3 linked regions of the Yarrowia lipolytica genome follow. The protein of the gene in region 2 interacts with the protein of the main gene of each other region in a pairwise test. Links are inferred from orthologs where the notes say so. Each region holds a gene or a part of one and is shown on either strand. Other genes may lie near its edges. The genes, in order: YALI1_F12874g, YALI1_E11341g and YALI1_C07117g.

Region 1 (1,965 bases), on a different chromosome or scaffold from region 2:
TGGTTTGTGTCACGTGGTGGTTTGTGTCACGTGGTGGTTTGTGCCACGTGACAGATATGGCCCGTATACGTTGTCTTCGTACGGTGCGTGTACTCGTACTTGTACCATCAGCGATACAACTCCTCCATGGCAATGCACATTGAGTTGTCTCCATATTTGCTGTTGTCTTTTGGGAGTGTGGAAAAAACTGGAAAAACTTGGGCGAAAATGCTGAAAAACAGGTACGTCGGGTCTCCAAGCTCATGGAACTCACCAAAACCACCGCCTGATCCTCAGGATACCCACTTGCCACACCCTCTTTCGTGTGTTTCCATCCAAAAAAGGGCACGTGCAAACAGAGTTTTGGAATGTTGTGGAAGTGCCCCTTTTTGACCCTTTTTGACCCTTGTTGACCGGGACCCAGGAGACCCAAAAACCAGCCTAAAAACAGCAGCGGTAGGGGTAAAGGTGCGGCAAAAGACGGGATCCAGAGCCGCAATCGAGAGAGGGTTCGGTCACGTGACTCAGTTGACGTTTCACGGGTCCCATTGATGTCCAATTGGTCTCCTCGTCTCGTCCAGTATAAGCTCAGATCACGTACGGCGACCCACCGGGACAGGAGGACCAGCCGTGACTTTTCACCCCCACGAGTACCCTAACCCTGAAAATTTTACAGGTCCACTAAAGTTGAGGGCTTGTACTTTTCCTCTTCTTTTTTCTTTCCACATCATCCACAAAAATGTCTAACACTGAGCAGACCTTTATTGCCATCAAGGTGAGTAAGAAGCGAGGGTGAAGGAGTCGACGGCAGGGATTTGTTGTGTGTCAATTGCTGAATTGATCCGATTGAAGTGTCTTGAGATTGATGTCGTGTCAGCGAGATGGACAGATCAACACACCTCCGACACATGACCATGGCGCCAACAATGGTCGACCGCCAAGCTCCCCCAAACAACCACTAACCCAGCCCGACGGTGTCCAGCGAGGACTCATCTCTCCTATCCTCCACCGATTCGAGCAGCGAGGTTTCAAGCTTGTCGCCATCAAGCTGACCAACCCCGACGAGAAGCTCCTCCGAGAGCACTACGAGGACCTCCAGGAGAAGCCCTTCTTCCCCTCTCTGCTCAAGTACATGCAGTCTGGCCCCGTTCTTGCCACCGTCTGGGAGGGTAAGGATGTTGTCAAGCAGGGCCGAAACATCCTCGGTGCTACCAACCCCCTCCAGTCCGCCCCCGGTACCATCCGATTCGACTACGCCATCGACATTGGCCGAAACGTCTGCCATGGTTCCGACTCTGTTGAGTCTGCCAAGAAGGAGATCGGCATCTGGTTCAAGCCCGAGGAGCTCGCCTCTTACACCCCTGCCAACATTGGCTGGATCTACGAGTAAGCTATTTGTATAGTTTAATATCTTGTATGTGTCGCAGTGAAGAGTGTACTTGTTGCGGACTATTGTCTAGTAGTTTTCTTGTAGCCGTCATGGAAGGAGCCATCTCCATTGGACACGTGTAACCTTGATGGTCGCCTGTCATTTCACGTGTTGATCCACATTGGATGATTAAGCAACCCAGAGCTGATCGAGTTCCATATTAGACATTTTCAACCACGAGCGTACAATGTTCGTGCAGGAGGAATTTTCGCCAGCATGTTTCTTGCTTGTGTTGGGCCATATGTTCTTTCTGCTCACTTTGTTTACCTTTGTTACAAATTAGTTGAGAAAAATATTCGGCTGGGGGTTCATTTTGCACATTCCAGAAATGCCAGAGTTTTGGAAAGTGGTTCGATTGATAGGTAAAGAGCGACTTCTAAACAAGTTTTCATAATTGACAGTATTGTTTATTGCTAAAAGTTCAGGATACTTGTTTGAAACTTTTGTTGAGATTGTATTGCATACTTTAAAATATATATATATATATTATATACTGTAAAACAAAAAAAAGTATATACTGTACTTGTACTTACTGTATGTACTGTACATACTTGTGG
Region 2 (2,733 bases):
TGGCTTCTGTGTGGTTGAAGATAGTTCTGGAGTGTTTATATCAAATTTTCAGAGTAATTTTATCAAAAATGAGGATTCTAATGTGACGTTGTTGTTGCTAACAAGGAACCTTGTTTCGAGTGCTGGCAGCATGGGTGGGGGAGTTATATAAGGGCGAATAATGTGTGTGTTGGTATGGAAATAAGTGTTTTGGTTGATTTATTTGGCAATTTGGGACTGTTTAATTGTGTTGTTGAAGTATCAGAACTCTGCACTCGAAGTTGAGTATTTTATATTTTCCCTTATCCATGATATGATGTTTACTTGAGACAGTGCGAGGACGACTGCAGTATGTACTGTACAGTACTGAACTGTACTTGTACTAAGTACTCGTAAGTAATTTAGTTGGGATGGCAAAGTACATGGCTTCCGAAGGACATGGCAACGCTTGAGGATACACTGAGTACTTAAAGGTGGAGTAGTGCGGTCAAATTTCGAATCAGAACTCGCTCAGATGATGTTTTTTGTTGTTGGTTTTTTAGAAACGTTTTTCTTTGGTTTTTTGGAGACGTTTTTTTGTTGGTTTTTTGGAAACGTTTGTCTGTCGACTTGAAGCTCAGTTGACATGCGTTGCCGGTTTAGACTGTGCAACGCAACAGCAGCACCCGGAGATATATCGACAAGATAACTTTCGAAGCTTGTCGTCAGACTCATTTGCTCACGTGACACACACTCCTTTGCTCATTAGGCCGTCGTCAATACGCCCAGGACTCTCCTGACAGTGATCAACAACTTATCTGCGCCAAAGATCTACAAGTCTCACCTGAGTTCGCTCATAACCTGTACTGTAGGTTAAGTCCGTTTAAATTGATTACGCCGATGTACCCAAGTACCGGTAGTCCTACAAGATAGGGCGTCCAGTAGCAAGTGTGAAGTCTGCGCATGCTGAGAGCTACCCAGGGTAATTATGGGGTCGTCGTACCCACCGCACGCCCTTACAATCCACAAACAGGCTCTTAACCTGAAAATGCCGGATATATACGTCTCTGGCCCAATCTCCAACCACCTCCAACCACCTCCACCATAGTAATATCACCGTGCATATTGCTGTGCCAAAATTTCGTCTCGGGCAAAAATAAAGTTTCACATTGGAAGCAGTCTCACGCGAACAATTCAGCACTCGGTCGAGACATCATCTCTGTAAAGTCATCATCACATCACTACCATCATGGGACTCAGTGTTGCGGAAATCAAAAAGCTGATGGCTGACCTGGAAAAGGCCAGCGGCGAGGCGGTATACGACATTCTGCAGGTGTTGCACAAGGAGGTGGAGCCTACGGAGAAGCTGCTGCGAGAGACCAAGCTGGGTATTGCCGTCAACAAGCTGCGAACCTCCAGCGACAGCCGGATCTCGGACCTGGTCAAGAAGATGATCAAGTCGTGGAAGGACACGGTGACGGCCCAGAAGAGAGACGCGTCCAAGAAGGTAGAGGGCAAGAAGGAGACCAAGGAGGAGAGCCGACCGGTCAAGTCCAGCTCTGCGTCTTCTGGTAACGCCACTTCGTATACGCCTCCTTCGGGCCAACGAACCCCGGCCAAGGACGGTGTGTCTACAGAAATCTACTCGGACAAGGTGCGAAACCGGTGCATCGATGTAACCTACACTGCGCTGGCTGTCGGCATGACTGCGCACCCCAATGAGGTGCTCGCCTGCGCCAAGGCCATTGAGAATGAGGTGTACAAGATGGAGAACGGCACCGGCGGCAACTACCGCCCCAAGATGCGATCTCTGTACATCAACCTCAAGGACCCAAAGAACCCCGGTCTGCGAGGCAACGTCATTTCGGGCAAAATTTCGGCCGAACGACTGTGCCGAATGTCGCCCCAGGAAATGGCGTCCGACGAGCTCAAGAAGGAGATTGAGGAGATGGAGAAGCAGAACCTGTTTGCTGCTCGAGGAGCCACGGAACAGAGAGCCGTGACGGACCGATTCACATGCGGCAAGTGCAAGCAGAAGAAGGTCAGTTACTACCAGATGCAGACGAGATCTGCAGATGAGCCGTTGACCACGTTTTGCACGTGCGAGAACTGTGGTACGAGGTGGAAATTCTCCTAAGCTGCCGTTGGTGGCGATGACGTGGGTCGCCTGTGCCATGGGGGAGTGGACGGAGGAGTGTGTCCATATTGGAGTGCTTTTGGAGTGCTAGACAGAAGAGCTATGTCTGTGACTGGCTATCTTCGCAATCGAGTTCTGTGAATTCGCAAAAGGGGAGTGTATATAGTTAGATAGGTTATGTATTGTTAGGTGTTAGGATACACTGATTGGAGGTTGAGTGTTTTACCAGTGGCAGTGTGTGTAATAGTTTCAGATGGTCTACCTGTATATTTGTGCTCTGGCACGCGATATTCACTACAACTACCGTATGTACTCTGTAACACAAACAAATACCGCATTTGATGGACAGTATCCTGTTGTACTTGTGCTGGTTGATGAGTGGAAAACACCCAACTATTAGTTGATTATGAAATACAATTTAGTTAAAAAGTAGTTGAGATTAGGAGGCGTATCAAGAACTACTGGAGCTTGGGGTTGGTCAAAAATGTATTGTTTTGAGAGAGTTATAAAACGTCTACATAGTACTGATAATACTCTAGAGGATCCCTGGGGTTCGATTGTAGATGATCGGAAACCCATTAGCAACCACCACAGTTGGGGTCACCGCACTTGGGGCAGTGCTTCTTCTGGGTAGGAGT
Region 3 (1,845 bases), on a different chromosome or scaffold from region 2:
AGGACTGACTCAGTTGGGTCTTAGTTTGTGAGTACACGGTATGGGCGCGGGTAGGGGGCAAGTCGGAGCAGTGACTGGAGATTGAGGGCTTGAGCGACAACATTGTGTGGGATTGGCGATACAGCGGCGCTTGGGTGTCTTTTTGTGACGACAGTGGCTGTTAGGGGACCCTCAGATACAGGTACTCTGTCTACGTGATGATACGGCATCCACACACGTTGCGCATCACACTGTTGGCACTACATTTCAGAGGTGTTTTAGAAGCACTTGACTGAATGCTTCTAAAGGCTGCTGTTCACAATCCCTTAAATCATAGCTCAATCGGGCCAGCTGGACTTGCTACCTCTTCAATACTAACTCAGACAAGATGTGAGTACTGTACGGACAATGACAGCGATGGTTGCCACTGATACGATAGCCCAACATAATTGATATGCTGAAGACATCAGTGGAAATGGCAATCACGAGAGACTGTGTCGGAGCACCTATCGAGACTGTGCCGGAGCACTCAGCGATACCAGCAATATGATGAGCACCAACGGAACAACAATGAACCGGAACAAGACAACAGAAACGAGAAAACAGATACCACAGATGGGCTGCAGAGAATCGAACCTTGTCTCCAGCAAAGTCCTCTATTCCTGCTGGTTCAATGGGATCGTTCTCACGATCTGTCTTGTTTCACATCGTTGGTAGTTTTCTGGCGTGCTATCTCCTCTGGCGTGCTATCCCCTCTGGCGTGCTATCCCCTCTGGCGTGCTATTGATTCAGACGTACTATTCAGCCTGGCAATGACTGTTGCTCATTCTGATGTGCTTCGCTCATGGCCTCCTCGCCATGGATACTGCCCTTCATCGATTGTTGTCGTCCCAACCTTTGGCAACCCAGTTCCATTACTAACGCAGATTCTCCTCTCATTCTATCTTATCATTTTTGGTTACTCAATTGCATCTCTCGAGTTTGCCACCCCCCCAGTGGCACATAAGTACGGCTCGTTCCTCTTCTCATTCGTGGGGCGAGGTATTCTGTACATTCTGATTGCCGCCATTCTCATGTCTGGTGGCTTCTTCCGATACCTCATTTCGTTCATTATTTTCGGAATCGGCGCTCTCTTTGTGGTGCTGGAGTTCATTCCTTCCATCGAACCTCCTGAGAACATGCGAAACGAGCCCTTAGACTACATGGAGGAGGTGTAGAGCACTAAGTGACATACATATGTGATAATAGATGATGAAAAGTGGCTCTCTTCCTTCCATGGACCCTGTCTACCCAAATTTAGGAGGGATATTATTAATTTAATGGTCCAACATTCGTATATATTGACATCTTCTAAATAAGGTTTTGAAATACCTTCATTCGACTGTTGCTACAAACATATATAATCTAAATAAATCAAACCCCATCCGTTTAATAATTGGCACCATTTTTGTCGCCCCATTAAGGCGGCCATTTTGATACCAAAAACTTGCCCATTTCTTCAAAAAACCCAACAGTTACCCTACTGCAGCATATATGCACACCACCAAGATATTCCATCTCGATATTGTCATGAGCTCTAATACAAAAATACACAACCATGTCGCTGGTCAAGAAGCCGAAAACCGAACTGTCGACGCATGTTGCGTCAGATCACGTGACAGAAACGTCGATCCAGCTGATTGGACACTCGTGCCCGGTTCTGGCGTGTGATTTGAGTGCAGACAAGGAGGTTCTTTCAGGCGATCTGGAGGGACTGGTAAAGCTGTGGAAGCTGTCACGTGATGACACGGTTGAGCAGTACGAGGTTGGAAAGCACAAGGGAGCAGTTTTGGGCGCGATTTTCCTCAAGCATCGTATGGTTACCTG

What was found.
Region 1: the proteins of YALI1_E11341g (region 2) and YALI1_F12874g interact in a two-hybrid assay, tested with the Schizosaccharomyces pombe proteins (2 studies listed by BioGRID, with this or other methods). The link is inferred for Yarrowia lipolytica from reciprocal best matches to the Schizosaccharomyces pombe genes tfs1 and ndk1.
Region 3: the proteins of YALI1_E11341g (region 2) and YALI1_C07117g interact in a two-hybrid assay, tested with the Schizosaccharomyces pombe proteins (2 studies listed by BioGRID, with this or other methods). The link is inferred for Yarrowia lipolytica from reciprocal best matches to the Schizosaccharomyces pombe genes tfs1 and tvp15.

What each region holds. Positions count from the first base shown.
Region 1 is NC_090775.1:1,286,561-1,288,525, forward strand, and holds YALI1_F12874g (uncharacterized protein), read left to right. Parts: upstream 1-844; coding exon 845-1,369; downstream 1,370-1,965. Other genes in the region: YALI1_F12871g (uncharacterized protein), read right to left, coding at 1-634, 681-710. UniProt on the Schizosaccharomyces pombe protein: Major role in the synthesis of nucleoside triphosphates other than ATP. The ATP gamma phosphate is transferred to the NDP beta phosphate via a ping-pong mechanism, using a phosphorylated active-site intermediate.
Region 2 is NC_090774.1:1,132,867-1,135,599, forward strand, and holds YALI1_E11341g (uncharacterized protein), read left to right. Parts: upstream 1-1,207; coding exon 1,208-2,095; downstream 2,096-2,733. Other genes in the region: YALI1_E11351g (uncharacterized protein), read right to left, coding at 2,196-2,230, 2,682-2,733. UniProt on the Schizosaccharomyces pombe protein: Necessary for efficient RNA polymerase II transcription elongation past template-encoded arresting sites.
Region 3 is NC_090772.1:710,661-712,505, reverse strand, and holds YALI1_C07117g (uncharacterized protein), read left to right. Parts: upstream 1-791; coding exon 792-1,196; downstream 1,197-1,845. Other genes in the region: YALI1_C07109g (uncharacterized protein), read left to right, coding at 1,577-1,845. UniProt on the Schizosaccharomyces pombe protein: Golgi membrane protein involved in vesicular trafficking.